Daphnia pulex: one gene and its partners. The protein of the gene in region 1 binds, or shares a complex with, the protein of each later gene. Links are inferred from orthologs where the notes say so. Each region holds a gene or a part of one and is shown in the gene's direction. Other genes may lie near its edges.

What was found. Proteins that work in one complex are often made in the same cells at the same time.
Region 2: protein Red-like (region 1) and pre-mRNA-splicing factor 38A-like share a complex: the UniProt entries of both Homo sapiens proteins name them as parts of the spliceosome B complex. The link is inferred for Daphnia pulex from reciprocal best matches to the Homo sapiens genes IK and PRPF38A.
Region 3: protein Red-like (region 1) and microfibrillar-associated protein 1-like share a complex: the UniProt entries of both Homo sapiens proteins name them as parts of the spliceosome B complex. The link is inferred for Daphnia pulex from reciprocal best matches to the Homo sapiens genes IK and MFAP1.

Annotation. Positions count from the first base shown.
Region 1 is NC_060027.1:2,115,763-2,121,355, forward strand, and holds protein Red-like, read left to right. Parts: upstream 1-1,983; 5' UTR 1,984-2,120; coding exon 2,121-2,130; intron 2,131-2,197; coding exon 2,198-2,228; intron 2,229-2,302; coding exon 2,303-2,473; intron 2,474-2,531; coding exon 2,532-2,693; intron 2,694-2,760; coding exon 2,761-3,033; intron 3,034-3,104; coding exon 3,105-3,663; intron 3,664-3,729; coding exon 3,730-3,885; intron 3,886-3,953; coding exon 3,954-4,204; intron 4,205-4,266; coding exon 4,267-4,297; 3' UTR 4,298-4,486; downstream 4,487-5,593. Other genes in the region: flocculation protein FLO11-like, read left to right, coding at 1-1,069, 1,134-1,389, 1,448-1,617, 1,682-1,762; ribose-phosphate pyrophosphokinase 1, read right to left, coding at 5,007-5,099, 5,166-5,325, 5,392-5,565. UniProt on the Homo sapiens protein: Involved in pre-mRNA splicing as a component of the spliceosome. Auxiliary spliceosomal protein that regulates selection of alternative splice sites in a small set of target pre-mRNA species. Required for normal mitotic cell cycle progression.
Region 2 is NC_060022.1:2,882,053-2,886,963, forward strand, and holds pre-mRNA-splicing factor 38A-like, read left to right. Parts: upstream 1-2,010; 5' UTR 2,011-2,155; coding exon 2,156-2,285; intron 2,286-2,350; coding exon 2,351-2,510; intron 2,511-2,575; coding exon 2,576-2,697; intron 2,698-2,733; exon of another isoform or gene 2,734-2,760; coding exon 2,761-2,846; exon of another isoform or gene 2,847-2,911; coding exon 2,912-3,502; 3' UTR 3,503-3,551; downstream 3,552-4,911. Other genes in the region: furin-like protease 1, read left to right, coding at 1-48, 128-337, 396-691; mitochondrial import inner membrane translocase subunit Tim16-like, read right to left, coding at 1,248-1,469, 1,548-1,706. UniProt on the Homo sapiens protein: Involved in pre-mRNA splicing as a component of the spliceosome.
Region 3 is NC_060019.1:11,264,583-11,270,152, reverse strand, and holds microfibrillar-associated protein 1-like, read left to right. Parts: upstream 1-1,910; 5' UTR 1,911-2,053; exon of another isoform or gene 2,054-2,121; intron 2,122-2,834; 5' UTR 2,835-3,325; coding exon 3,326-3,543; intron 3,544-3,612; coding exon 3,613-3,931; intron 3,932-3,996; coding exon 3,997-4,075; intron 4,076-4,137; coding exon 4,138-4,295; intron 4,296-4,358; coding exon 4,359-4,685; intron 4,686-4,747; coding exon 4,748-5,026; 3' UTR 5,027-5,136; downstream 5,137-5,570. Other genes in the region: ADP-ribosylation factor 6, read right to left, coding at 44-186, 259-457, 530-633, 716-797. UniProt on the Homo sapiens protein: Involved in pre-mRNA splicing as a component of the spliceosome.

The DNA of each region.
Region 1 (5,593 bases):
CACTTCGACGATTTCTTCCGTAATTGCACAATCAGTGGAAACAATCAGTTGTACGAAGAAGACGCCGACGCCCGTCATCCTTCCCAATCAGTCTAAAAAGGCAACATCTCCGTCCGAATCGTCACTTGCTGCCGAGTCTCACAATCAGTCAAAAGAGATTTCAGCAGCTAAATCTCAAAGTGTTTCTTCATCGCCTAAAGTTACGGAGCCTAAAGTACCGGATCCTAAACCTGCAGAGCCTAAAGCCGTAGAGCCGAAAAAGTCAGCTACTGTTGCAGAAAAAGCAAAAGTTGTTACTCCAAAGAATGTTGCGAATGCTTCCAAAACGACAGAAAAGTCAGCGGAAGTCACTACTTCACGGCCGAGTGAAAATGTGCGCACTTATTCAAAGCGGGACGAAGCAAGCAGTAAAAACACTACCCCAAAACCTTGTCCTCCAGTCAATCCTCAAGTCTCTGGAGCAGCTGGTAGATTATCGGCTCGAACAACTGAACCTAGCCAGGGGAAAGATGCCGCTGCTACTGCAACACCCTCAGTTTCCACGCAAAAATCTACCAGTTCCTCCACTACTGCCAAACAGACAACACCAGCGACTACCACAACAGCCCCTCGAACGAATTCATCTAATCCGATTCTATTGAGGTCGCACGAATCGTCGGTGAGGTGCGTGTACATCTGTGGGCCGTGCGCATTCACGGCTTCAGAAGATGGGACGGTCCACATTTACGATTTGAATACGAATGCGCTCGCCATGCGGATATTGGGTCACACCAAGCCGGTTACTTGGTTGTACGGAGTCGCATTGAACACGTCGGGTGAGGTGATGAAGTCGATCAAGTCCACTACTGACTATCTCAACCACTTGACGCTCATCACGGGCAGTGAAGACGCACACATTCGACAGTTTGCATTAGACAGTGGCTCCTTGATCCACGAAAGATTTTGTAAACATGCTTTGACGTGTGCAGTGGGCCACAAATTTATCACAAAGCTCTATGTGGGCACTACGGAAGGAACCATCTTCACTTATAATCCCAAAATCAATAGTATCCGGATAAACAAATTTAAAGTAAGTTTGATTTGGTAAAATAAGTTACGAGTTAGAACAATTTCAAAAGCTTCTATTTTTGCAGGCGAATGGTGAAGTCATTTGTATGAAGATACTAAACGTTCGGGGAAAAAGAGCAATCATTGTGGCAGCGAGGCGAATGGACCCCGTTGTTTATGACTTGGATACGGAAGATGCTCTCTTCACATTGACCTCAAACATTCCGAGCAGTTCTTTTTACTGTATGTCAAGTACCTCGCACTATGTGTTCTGCTGCGACGCCAACAAGAACCTCTTTAAATTCGACACAAATAGTGATAATATGTATATCACGGAAACTCGTAAGAACGTGTAGAGTTAATTTTCCGATAAAGTAATTAAAATTTTCAAATGTTTTAGTTCCCTCTGCGGCTGTGAGTTCGTCCTTTGAAGGGAACCGATATCTCATCCTTGGCTGTATGGATGGAGTTATTCGAGTAATAGATACATTGCATAAGCCGTCTCGAATTATCACTTTGCCAGGGCAGGCCTTGAAGACAATCACATGTATGAAAATCGTCAATGGCAAGGTATTGTTTTGGTTTACTTATTTTTGAAAATCCTGAGGCTTGAAGTAATGAAATTTTATTTCAGATGGTTGGGGGATCACTCAACGGTGAAGTTGCTTATTGTCAGCTTCCTAATTTAGAGGCTTTGTGTAAAGTCAATGGCTAATATGAAGAGATTTTCTCTGTGTGAAACTTATCTACTTTTTAAGTAGGCTTTGAAAGAATACTACAATGATTTCGTTTCATGGTACTGATTTTGTTATAATTCCGATGACAAAAACGCAGAAATAATGATGTGAAAAATACACTGGCGTAATGCTCAGAATTCATACTCCCCGCGTTTTTATTTATTTTGTTTTTCCTTCAGCTACTGTTTAGTATTCCCGTAGACTTAGCAGACGACGTTAGTTTGCTTCGTCTGTTGTTTCGACAAGTTCGAAGTTTCGAACTGTTTGGCTTTGGCAAGCAAAGTTTTTGTAAATTTTGTTTTCTCATTGTGAATTCAACTATCTATCGGCCTAATAATGCCTGACAGTAAGATCATTGCTGTAATTTTTTATTGAAATAATGTATAGTAACTTTAAATTGAATTTCGTTTCAGGAGATGGGCAGGACGCTGGACCTGGGGAAGCGTAAGAAATGATTCATTCATTTAGACCATGTTCCAAATTAATGTAGCTTATTGTTTTTATTTTTTAATCCGTAGATCCTCCAGGTTGACAAACGATGACTTCCGAAAGTTGATGATGACACCTCGTGCTGGATTTGGATCAGGTTCAGGTTCTTCAAGTAATTTGGGGATGGGGTCTGTTCGAGGAGAGAGTAGTGTTCGTAAAACAACACATGGGAAAAGTGACCAGAAAAGAGCTAAAAAAAGGTGAGACACTCATTCAAACTATGCATTAATAGTTGTTAACGTCTTTGAATAATTTTAGTGAATACTTGAAAGAGAAAAAAGAAGAAGAAGAAATTCTAGCTGAACTTGCAAAAAAATATCGCGATCGTGCTAAAGAAAGACGAGATGGAGGCGAAGCTTCTGGCCCTGATGCGTTAGCGACACTTGGAGCTTATCGTGCTGTAGCACCAGATATAAAATCGTACTACAGTCATACTTTTCTACTGAAAAACTTCAAACAATCAACATGAATCAAATTTCTTTTACAGAACAATGGATGCTGCTGAACGAAGGAAACAAATGATCCAAGAATCAAAGTTTTTGGGTGGTGACATGGAACACACTCACTTGGTGAAAGGTCTCGATTATGCTCTTCTCCAGAAAGTACGCAGTGAAATGGAGCAGTTTGAAGAAGAGGATGACGAACAACTCGAACAGGCTGTTGAAGGCGAAAAAAAAGAGGGAGAAAAGGAAGTCGAGAAAAAGAAGGAAGGTGACGATGAGATCCAGTTTAAAACAATTATAGGAAAAAACATTTTTAGGTAAAACTTCAACTTCATATCATTGAAATGATCATGAGTTAATTTATTGTTTTATTTATTTTAAAATGCAGGGCCGTATTCAGATCAAAACCACCTGAGCGAAACGAACATTTCCTTCCTGGTCGAATGGCGTATCTTATCGAGTTAGAAGATGAGAATGCCGAGTCAGACATACCAACGACCGTGTTGAGAAGCAAAGCTGATTGCCCCGGACTGGAATCCTTAGCCACTCTGTCTACAAATGACATTGTCATTAATAAGCTGACGCAAATTTTATCGTACCTCCGGCAAGGAAAAATCGGCAAAAAGCTCAAAAAGCCCAAAGAAAACAAAGACATGCCACCCCCGCAAATCATCCCCGGCCTGAAAGTCAACAAATCCACAATAGTAGAAGACACCATCTACAGCAATATCGGGACTTATGTGGCCCCGACAAAGGAGAAAACTGCCTCTAGTAGTTCACGTGACAGGGAAAGGCGAAGTGACAAGCGTGACTACTTTGACGACAAATCCCGCAAGGATAAAGACGGAGATGCTGATCGAGACAAGTCCAAGGATGCTTTGAAAAGCGCCGCAGTTTTGGAAGCTGAACGGACTCTGGGTGCCCTGCTAAAACCAGGAGCAGCTGATGCAAGTTTTCAATAATGATACTGAGTTTCATCTTTTACCAGTTATTGATTGTCTATTGATTCACAGAAACGAGATGGTGGGTCTTCCAAGAAGGCAGATAAAATGCTTTCTAAACTATCCGCTGAACCTGAAGGATATGCCGAATGCTATCCTGGTTTCGAGGAAATGAACGACGCTCTTGAAGACTCGGACGATGAAGCCGATTACTCAAAAATGGACCTGGTAAGAAATGATTAAAACGTTGATTGAAAATTGATTTTACAGATTCTTTTTGTAAACTTATTTCTCAGGGCAACAAAAAAGGACCAGTCGGTCGATGGGACTTTGATACAGCGGAAGAGTATGGTGATTACATGAACAAAAAGGAAGCCCTTCCTAAAGCTGCCTATCAGTATGGTATCAAGATGGCCGACGGACGCAAGACGCGCAACAAGACTGTTGTCAAAACAGATAAGACGGAGAAAGCGGAACTGGACCGAGAATGGCAGAAGATCCAATCTATCCTACACAAGCGTAAAGGAGGTCCATCGGGAGAATCACAGTAAGTTTCATAATTATTTCAAAATGTTTTCCTGTATAATTCATGATTTCTTATTCGTTTAGAAAACCGGAGAAGTCTGTTCGTCGTAATTGATATTTTTCATCATTGGTTTTCCTTCATTAACCATATTCTACTGTATTGACCGCGAAAATGTTTTCTAATGTTCCCAATTAACTGCATTCATTTAGGTACCCATCGTGAATGAAAAGATTTGTTTTTCGTACCCTCACTAGCTTCATATATATTTCATCACAAGTGCAGTGAAACAATTCCAGAGCATCAGTCAATTTCATTCCATTTTTTTTTCTAAACAAAAACTATTTTTGTGGACCAAAAGATATTCAACAAGACAGAAAGTGAGAAAAGTATATAGTGGTTCGTCAAAGACTGACCCATATAAAAAGAAAAAGGATAAACACACATGAAAGCCACCACAAAGCACACCAACGAGCATCGAAAGAGGGCATGTGACAATTATGGCACAACTCTATTTGTCAATCTTGTCTATCAAGAAGAATGAAGGGGTTGGGCTCATCGCAACGGGCCAAATGGATGGAAAGAAAAAAGGCTGCTTGGGAGGAGTTTTCCATTTCATCTTGAAAGTAGCGGATAGATAGATATATATCGTGGTTGCCACACATAGACAAGTCGGGAAAAAAAAGAAGAAAAATAATGATCGAATGTGTGGAATGTATCTAAACTGCAAAAAGAGAAGGAGGGTTGGTGCCAGAGAGGGAGGCCACAGCGACAATCATTGTAGTGATGAAGCTCGCAGGTGTTCGGTGCGCTAATTGTACTATATTTAGTAGGGGACGTTGGAGAACAGGTACGACACCGACTCGCCATTGTGGGTGCGTCGTACGGCCTCGGCGAACATCATCGAAACGTCTATCACCTTCAAGATGAGACAATGGCATGTTAAAAAAGAGCTAATGCAAAGAGTAGTGCTAATTTAGATTACCTGGATTTTGGAGCACTCTTTCATGTGTCTATCTTGAGGTATAGAATTAGTGACAACTACCGCCTCGAAACAGGCGTTGTTGATGCGTGATATGGCAGGGCCAGAGAAGATACCGTGTGTTAAAATGGCATACACTTTTGTGGCACCTGCTTCGAGTAGTCTGTAGAAAACGAAATTAAGACAATAAATCAAAAACTCCCCTTTAATTGAAAAACTGTTATTTTACTTGTCTGCTGCGTGGCAGATTGTGCCGCATGTGTCAGCCATGTCGTCGACCAGAATGGCAACACGATCTTTGACGTCTCCGACAAGAACCATGGCAGCCACTTCATTAGCCTTCTTTCGCTCCTTGTGGATCAAGGCGAAATCAACGTTGAGTCGATCGGCAATCGAAGTCACCCTGTTTTTCAAACAAATTCGTTGCAAGA
Region 2 (4,911 bases), on another chromosome or scaffold:
AATTGCCCCAAACTCTCTTAATGACGACCGTTAGCAGAAGTCTTAGAGGTACTACTTGATTAACTTAGCATGATTGATTAACATACCATATTTGAATCCATTATACCTCTTCTGCTGTGGCTCCCAGGGTGTGAAAGTGGTTCCTATTTGTGGGAGGGCAAGTGCTTGGCAGTCTGTCCGAATGCTTCACATCCAATGAATCGCACCGAACTAAATGGTCTCCTTAGCGGTGTATGCGTTCCGTGCCACTATTCTTGTCTTTACTGCAGAGGACCAAGTGATTCTCAGTGCACTTCATGCTATCCTGATTCACAGCTCAAGTTTGTTTCTATACCAGGTACTGATGGTTAGACCTATGTTTGAAAAATCTATTAACAAATGTTGTTTCACCGTAGGATCCCAAATAGAACCAGAATCGCACTGTTATCCGCATGAACTCGTAAAGCAATTAACGGGCTACGAAAACTGGTCCGTGGGTGTCGAACTGGCTCTGGCGTTTAATTTAGCACTCGTGATGGCTTTAACGATTTACATGATGTGCACTAAAAAGAGTTTCAGTTCTTCTTTTGTTTTAAACTGTTGTAGCGGCAGCAACGAACGGGAAACGAACCACAGGCAAGGTGACTACGATCTGTTGACACAAACAAGCGCAAATCTTCCTCCACCTATTGGCGCCGAAAAATCAGTTTAAAGAGTAAAAGTTCTAAAGTCAACATTGTTTAGAAGATAAAATGTCAGTTTTTAATATTTATAAAATGTAAAGATTATATTTGTAAAAAGGTTCTATAAATATTTGAATGAGCGGTTTGCCAGATTCTGTAATAAATTACATTCTAACGGATACCATATTGATTGTCGTCGTCAGTCATTGTAAAAACTGGTAAAAACCGTGTTTGCTATAGAAGGCCTAATGCATATAAAACAAATAATTAAATGAGCTTGGTAAATGTATAGTGAAATAAATTTGCAGCAATCACAAGTTGTGTTAAGATTAAAGTTTTCACTAAAATATATGATTCAAATATAAAGGTAAGAACAAAGCCTACTAAATTAAAATCATACCTGAAAAAATGTTTATACATCACATCACAATAAAAAAATATGCATAAGGATTCTATAATATTAGAATAAAAAAGGTTATAAAAAATGATTTTTATTAGTTATCCCTATATGTACAATTTTTCAATTTGACTACAAAGATAAATTCCAGATAATTTCCATAACCTTAACTGTCGTTTTGGAGAAGGTTACATTTTATTTTCTTTTGACGGTTCTTGTTTTTTTGTTTCATGTTTCATTTCTTGGTCAAGTCGTTCTTTAGCTCTGTATACTTTAGATTGAAGGTAGAATGAACCACCTTTCGTCTTGTCATTAACTTGGAACAAGTGATCATAGTTCTTCTGCACCAACTCAGGTTCTAATTTATCCACATTCAAGATTTCTTTTGCTTCCTCAAGGGTCATGCCTGTCTACAGAATGAAAAAAAAAACATGTTAACTTTTTAAAATTTACTGATATTACATAACTTTTGTGTGTAACAAACAAACCTTGAAGTTAGCTTCTACACGTGATGCGCCGGCTTTCCCACCACCAGCTCTTTTGGCAGCTTCCTGGCTAGCTTGATATTCTTGTTTAAGAGCTCTAGCAAACGCTCGCCCAATAACCTGGCCCCCCATAACAATTATTTGGGCCAAATATTTTGCCATAACCGTGGCGAGATAGATTCAAAATGATTACGTGATGATTTACGTCTGTAGTAGTATCAAGGTAGTATACTGGAATGTTTAGCAGGCGAAAAACAAACGGAAAAGCTACAGAAAAAAATGAAGACTCTTCTCTCAGAACAGACAGGTCAGTTTAAAAAATTTAGTTTGAAAAATCTTAAATAACTTAAGTGATTGATTTGTTAAAAATATAAAAATATTTCATAAAAGTAAACTAAATAACGATAAAATTTTCTTTTCAATTGATGAATTGATCGCCCCACCCACTTGACCACTTGATGTCTCTGTCTGTCCGTAGCAGACGACGGATTCAAGCGTCGTTCTGTCGTTCCGTTGCTAATGCCGACAAAGTTTTACTTTTTATCAACACAGTTAAATTTCAATGATTATTCTTTTGACTGTACACATCTAGTGTTTTAGATTAATTCAAAATGGCTAATCGAACAATCAAAGAGGCAATTTCTGTTAAAGGAACAAATCCTCAATACTTGGTTGAAAAGATTATTAGAACTCGAATTTATGATTCAAAGTACTGGAAAGAAGAATGCTTTGCTTTGACAGGTATATTGAAAATTTTACTTGTGTTTTGATGCACTCATTTTATTTATGTATATGTATTTTTTTAGCTGAGTTGATGGTGGATAAGGCCATGGAATTAAGGTACATTGGTGGAATATTTGGTGGTAATGTTAAACCTACTCCATTTCTCTCACTTACACTAAAAATGCTTCAAATCCAACCAGAAAAGGACATTGTAGTGGAGTTTATAAAAAATGAAGATTTCAAGTAAGTTCTTTGACCAAAACAGACAAGTTATACAGGAAATCACCTAATATAATGTATCATTATAGATATGTCCGTGCCTTGGGAGCATTCTACATGAGACTTGTTGGAACATCTGTGGAAATCTATAAATATTTAGAACCACTTTACAATGATTACAGAAAAATTCGGTTTCAAAACAAGGAAGGAAGTAATAATAAAAATAAGATATTTTTAAAAAGAATACTGCAAATTAACATGTGGTTTTATTTAGATTTTGAGCTTCTTTACATGGATGATTTCATTGATAGTTTACTGAGAGAAGAGCGTTTTTGTGATGTTATCCTGCCCAGACTTCAGGTATAAATGTGAATTAGTATTCAACCTAAAAAATACTGATTAAATACGGTTTATTTTACTTTCAGAAACGTCAAATTCTGGAAGAAGCTAATGAAGTTGAGCCGAGAGTATCAGCTTTGGAAGAAGACTTGGAGGAAGAAGATTCAGAAAGTGAAGAAGAAGAGGGTGAAAGGAAAGGAGGTTCGTTGTCGCCCCCTCCTACTACATCGCGTTCAAAGCAGGACAGTGATCGAGAACGGGAACGTTCTCGTCGTAATAGGGATAAAGAACGTGAACGAGAGAGAAGTAGGGAAAGACGTGATCGACATAGAGACAGAAGTCGAAGTCGTGACAAAAGGAATCGCAGCCGTGAGCGTGACAGGGACCGCAGTCGTGAAAGAGAAAGGGATCGAAGTCGCCGCCAGCGAAGCCGCTCAGTCGAACGTTCGCGTGACTACAGAAGAGACCAAGACAGGGATCGTAGAGACCGCAAGGACCGCGGGAAAGATCGTGAATCAGAACGAGATCGAAGCAAAAGAGGCGAAGATCGTGACAAGTACAACAACAAAAAGAAAGATAGCAAAAAGAGTAGCAGTTCCAGTGCTGCCATCGATCCTGAAATTGCAGAAGCGAATGCCTTGCGAGCTAAGTTGGGGCTGGCTCCTTTGCGACCGTAATCTGCTGTCTTTTTTCTAATCGTTTTGTAATAAACACTCTTTTCATTTCCTTATTATTCCGAGGTCTATCTGATTCTTTATTCTTATTTCTTGTGTTGGATGTGCAGACTTCAACTTAGACAAGAACTTAGGATTCTTCCTAAGTGAGACGGTGTTCGTTATTGCAAATGTAAAAGAGTCAAAAACAAGGTAAGTATTAGCTGATCCCAACAGACATTTTAAACACAAATTTGTAGATCAATCATCATTTTGACACTACTATTTAATGTTGACCCCGTTTTCTGAATTCTTTGTAAAATGGCGAAAAAGTTTATATCTGTTCACGGATCCCGAAAAACTATTATTGCCCTCGGCGCGCAGTAATGACTTCATGATTGGCTGGTGCACCAGTATGAATTTATGGTGATTTTTATTTTTTGAGATAATTTTTCCAAAATTTCCTTTCGTTAAGAACTTACGAAGCATCAGCCGTTGCAAGAATAACAATCAGAAAAGGACTTGTTCCTCATTTGAAATTTTTCCTATTATTTTTCGTCACTTACAATTTTTCCTCAGTACCGTAGTTACTAGTTAGGCTAAAGATCTCGTAGTCTCGTCCTATAAGATAAAAGCTCAACACGGATTACGGTACTACGGCCTCGGAGATGCAGACGACACCAGCTTCCAATCCTTTTTAACGTGGTCTGACTAAAATTTAAATGATCTGTGATGTGTGGGATCTTCATGGTTTCTTTTCTTTTACTGGAACTGGACATCATTTTTCCAGCTATAAAATGTATTGCCATTAGATCACTCGTTGGCTAAAAACTATGTCCACTAGATGGTGTAAGTGTCTTTGATAGAATCGAAATTCCACCATTTTTTTTTCTAGACACTGAGAGAAGATGTAGATTGCAGATGTAGACAAAAAAAGACCGAACGCTACCTCAGAAAGTATCCTAGAAAATGAAGAGAGTTCTTCGAATCCTTTAGTTATCGAAAGGGGAATGTACACACCACATAATTTCTTCGAAGGCGGTGCAGTGGAGTAGTAGTTTCTCCAGGACGCTGTCTAGGCAAAGTACCGATGGTTCTCAGATAAACTTAATAGAGTTCCGACGGCCTGCCAGATCAGGTGCAAGCTGCAGAAACGGTGTATATATGGCTTGAAATCCGGTTTATTATTTATTGCAAAGTACCTTTTCGAATTGGTTAAAACCTGTCGAATAAATCAAACGGTTATTGGATAAAACAGATCTAAGTAAAATGTTTAATATCTACCAGCTTCTTGAGGAAAAACCAGGGGCTTTGTTCTTAGGTTGATTGATGGTCCCACGTTTGAAACACCAAACAGCGCGAAATATTACCTGTTATGGCTGTTATGAGCCTTCGAAAGAAAAACAATTTGATGTAATAAAAACAAGCACAAA
Region 3 (5,570 bases), on another chromosome or scaffold:
CTTGTTGAATTTTGTTATACACAGCACTTGAACGAATGATTCATTACGATTTGTGATTAGATGTTAACCACGTTAGTCCTTCATACAAGCCGTCGCCTGTTGTGGCACATGCTGGCTGGACGTACCAGTTCCGATCACGAATACGAGTCAGCCCCAGTTTTTCTTGAATTTCGTGTGGTTTCATGGCTGTCAACATGAAAATGTCGTGAATAAATTGGGGTTCCACAGTCTCAATTATAATAATTGTAAAATACTCACCATCCTGGAGGTCTTGTTTATTTGCAAATATAAGGATGATGGCATCACGCATCTCACGATCGTTTATGATCCTATGAAGTTCTTGTCTAGCTTCGTCAATTCGATCTCGATCTGCGCAGTCCACAACGAATATCAAACCTTGGGTACCAGTATAATAGTGTCGCCACAGTGGGCGGATCTTATCTTGGCCACCAACATCCTGCAGTAATGATTCATATTTTAGTGTTGGGTTTAGAAATTTGATGGGTGAGGTCAAAAGGAACTAGCTTACCCAAACATTGAATTTGACATTTTTATATGTTACAGTTTCAACATTGAATCCAACGGTGGGAATTGTTGTGACTGACTGTCCTAATTTCAGCTTGTATAGAATTGCTATTTTGAAAAACAAAAATAATAAGTATAACTTGGAAAAAAACCAATGCTATCAGACAACACATAAAATTCTTTATCTCACTTGTTTTTCCAGCTGCATCCAGCCCCAGCATGAGTATCCTCATTTCCTTGTTTCCGAATATTTTGGACAGTATTTTCCCCATTCTCCTAATCAGCTCACTAACAAGCTGTTTTACAAGAAAAGAACTTTATTTCAAGCAACAAAATGACCCTGTCAGCCACAGCCATATAGTTTATCCACATCTGTAGAACTGAAGTGTCAAACTAGTTTGGTAACTTTTCAGTGACATTTGTGGCAAAAGTTGTTATCAGAAAAAAATAAACAGACTTTGCTCAGTCATTTACAGCATACTAGCTAACATACTATTATCAGATCAGGTTTTCCACTTACTTTAATGTAGACTCAACAATGACGTTTACTGGAATTTTAGCTGTAATATGGAAGTATTTTCGAAGGCATTCCTATGAACCGGAGTCGTTATTTGCACAAACACTATTTTGTTTTTGATGTGAGCACTAAGAAATCGATGGAAGGCGTTGGAAACAGGCGAAAATAAATAGTTTCTTTGCTTCTTCAGATAAAAAGGCACCTGTCACTTCAGTTAGCCGCCCAAACACCCGACCCGGTCTTCCCGATATCTTTGCAAGTCTTCAGAAGATCCAAAAAACTCGGGCCTTCCAATGTAATGAACAGACAGAATAGTACTCCTTGCATCTCACCAGATGGCTTTTTTTTCCTTCTTCCAATTTTGGTGACGGCGGCGTCTGAAAACAACTAGCTATTTCAGACTTTAACACATTCCACTCAACTAATCAATTATTTCTATTATTACACTTATTCAAGTGGAATAACGAGAGGAATGACATACACACACCAGTGTAATTGAGCAGATGGAATTCCAACACTGACAGCCAGTGTCCCCTTTTCTGCCCACCTTCTGATCCGCCCACCCAAGCTTCGATTTGATTCGATTTCAAAACCATTCCCTAACCGTCAACGTGTTCCCTCCCACATCTTTAAAATGTATTATTGAAACAACGAGTGATAAATTATTTTATTATAATTTTTAATGCAGGATTCATTGGTTCGAAAGGGGAAAATTTATTTAGCAGTTTCTAACATTTCTAAAAATTTGATCGGCAATACGGCAAGTGTTTAGTAGCGACGTCTATAATTTCAATTTAAGTAGCGGTCTCTGGCGTCAAGATTACGAAAGAAAAGTTGAAATTCATGAACACATTTTTCTTTTTAGGTTGCCGGAAGTCGACAAAATGCCTCAAGCCGGATCCCTATCTCCTCCCTTAACCCCCCGCAGCAACAGCTAACAGGTTGTCTCGGCTATCAAAGTGCATTTAAGGAAGCTGAATTACTCATTTTACAACTGAAACATTTCACCATGTAAGCCGCTAGCCGTAGTCTTTTGTTTTTTTTCCAAAAGAAGCATATTCACCATAAATATGTTCATGGTTTGTACATAGTGTTTCTATACAGTCACCGCCACCATGTTATGACGTTTTTTTGATGGATTGTTATTTCTTGTTGTTGCTTTTCGGACACATGTGTACTTGACTACTCAAAAGATTTGCTTTTCTCCCACAATACTTATTACTGGTTAGGTATTTTTCTATAAATAAGCACACTAGTGCTTGTTGCCTGGAAAGATTTATTTTAGCTCCTTTCTTTTATTACAGTACAAAACAGTTATTTATTAAGAAATAAAATGGAGACATCGAAGTAGAATTTCGAAACCGCACATTATTATGCTATGACGATAAAAAAAAAGCGGTAGAACCACCAAAAATATTCGGTTAAACTTTCGAGCGGATATATTTAGTGGAATATAGCGTGAGGTAAATTTTGAAGTGTGTGTCTAATCGATGTCCTTGAGTTCAATATCTTCGACGATCCGGTGAAAACTGCACGAAGTCATGCGGAGCTTTGAATACTTTGGTGTTTCGAAACAGTTGATAATAAGCTGAAACTCGTAAAACCACCGCCATTGCGATCAAATAGTGCGATGTGTAAAATCTAGCTACGACATAAGTAATTTCCTACAAAGTAAGTAGTAAGTAGGTAGTTGCTATATACAATAAATGAGTGATTTATTGTAACGTCATAATGAGGTCCAAATTCCTAAATTCCGACATTAATTTTCTCAGATTTATTTCGTGATTCTTAGGCACTTCAAGGTAAACGAGATTCCTCACGGTTGCCAATCCCTGGATAGAACTTGGCGAAAGGTCTCCATGGATTTTGGTCACGGCCTCTTTATCCTGATCCTGCTATCAGCTAATAAAACTCAGATAAAACTATCGTGTTTGCATTGTGTTGCCTAGAAGCAGCATAATCAGATTTTCAGTGGATTACAGCAACATCAATTGCTGGGTACTGGTCACAGTCTGCAATAACATGTCATACAATATTACGTGCCATAGGAGACGGCAAAAGTCACGTCATTCTTTATTTCAATTTAAGTTCTTAGATGGCGCAGTAGTCGTCTTCAATTTCATTCGCCAACAGAGGACTCTGCACTCTGGTGATCCGATGAGTGGCCCACTGGCCCTGAATAGAGTATGCAATGGCAACGAAAAAAACATTGAGTGAAAATTCAGACAACAAACGCGTGTATATGGTCGTTCCGTATTAAGATTAAGACAATTTTTTGTGAAAATGTCGTCATCCAAAGTGGTCCCTATCCTTTCAACCGCGGGTGCTATCCCTGTGAAAAATGACAAAGGGGAGATATCTATGCAAAAAGTTAAAGTCAATCGTTACGTATCAGGCAAACGACCAGACTACGCTACTACACATTCATCTTCAGATGATAGTGATGAAGAAGAGTTTATCAGACCAAGAAAGCAGGCAAGAGGAAGACCAGTAGAAGAAAGGTATTAAATTATTGATTGTAGATATGTATTTATATGCTTGTATATTTAAAAAATTTGATTAAATTGTAGTCCTGAAAAAGAATGGGACGAAACCCCAGATCTTCCACTTACTGCTCACAGTGACAGAAGATTAAAACGTCTTTTAAATCGTGAAGTTGACGACCATAGAATTGAAAGGCATCGTCATATCCATGAGCCTGAAATTATTGGAACAGAAGAAGATGAAGTAACACCTCATTTAGAAAGTGAAGAAGTAAGTTTTAGCAAAAATGCCCGAAGATGGGAATCAAGTGAAGAAGAGGATGAGGCAGAAGATCTTGATGAAGATGACATTGAGCGCAGAAGAATGATTGCACGTCAGAAGGCTGTTATTAAACAGCAAGAAGAAGTAAGTTAATATACTTTGTAGTATGATCATTGATCAATTCAATTCAATTGCAAATTTTGTTGTAGGAGTTGTTGGCAAGAGAGGAGGAGAAGGAAAGTGAGGAAGATGAAGATGACGAAGCTTCAGAATATGAAGAATATACAGGTTTGAAATAAAAGTCCCTTGATGTGAACAAGACTCTAAATCTGTTGTGTTTTTTATCCTAGATTCTGAGGAAGAAACGGGTCCAAGACTGAAGCCCATCTTCGTTAGCAAGAAAGAACGTATAACCATAGCTGAGAAGGAAAAGGAATTGCAAAAACAAAAGCTTATGGAACTTGAAGCTAAAAAGCTTGCCGAAGAACGTCGCCGCTATACCTTAAAGGTAAACCATTTTTAAATTTATACACTTTTTGAACTAAAAAAGCATTAAAAATCTATTAAACAGGTTGTTGAAGAAGAAGTCAGAAAAGAAATGCAAGCCAAAGACGAAAAAGACCTTGAATCAGGAATCTTGTCGGTGTTGACGGATGCCGAGGATGAAGAACTCGAATACGAGACCTGGAAATTACGTGAACTTAAACGCAATAAGCGTGACCGAGATGAAAGAGAGGCAGAAGAAAGAGAACGACAAGAAATTGAACGTATCCGTAATATGACCGAAGAAGAACGGCGACTGGAATTCAAGAACAATCCAAAGGAAGTCACAAACAAGGCACCAAAGGGCAAATATAAGTTCCTACAGAAATACTATCATCGCGGTGCCTTTTACCTCGTAAGTTCAGCTTTTAAAGATATTTGGGATTTTAAAAATAATTTAAACTCTTACTCTAACAGGACGAAGACAAGGAAGTTTTCAAACGCGATTTTGCTGTGCCAACTCTTGAAGATCACTTCGATAAGACTGTTCTGCCTAAAGTGATGCAAGTTAAGAATTTCGGTCGCAGTGGTCGAACCAAATACACACATTTGGTGGATCAAGATACATCACAAGCCGACGCACCGTGGGCCACGCATACTGCTCAGAATTTGAAATTCTACACACAGCATGCTGGTGGAGTAAAACAAGTGTTCGAAAGGCCTGCTTTGAAGAAGAACAATAACTCGGGTACTTGAGTTGTGGCACTGTTTTTATATTTGAAATTGAATTTTGTAACAATGTCTCATCTTTGTGGTTGATACATGCAAACCATCAATCGTACGTGAATTAAACATGTTTCCAGACATTCAATGTATCTAAAGGAAGGGGTAATCTTTTTTTTTCAGTCACTGCTTGTAGTAAAATTTTAAATCTTAGATTACCCTATACTTAGTAGTTCTCTTCTCTGCTGGTCTTTGTCTTTCTGGTCCTGGCTCCTTCTGGGCTGAGAAAACTTTTTTCGCACCCGCTAGATGTGCTGTGTACCGGGCTGGGTTGGGATGGGGTCATGGGGGTGTAAAAAGTTACACTAAGGGATAGCTCGAACAGTCGGACGCCGGCCTAGAAGTCAAGTAGGCCATGTCAGGATATTGTTTTGGGTCACGCCTATTGCACTCCGGGGTCCGGAGCGCTCTAGTGTCATAAGTGGCTATTGCAATCCGGAGTCCGGAGTCCTCTAGCGTCAAAAGTGGCTATTGCACTCCGGAAATTTATGGCGACGAATGGCAAATAACGACTGAT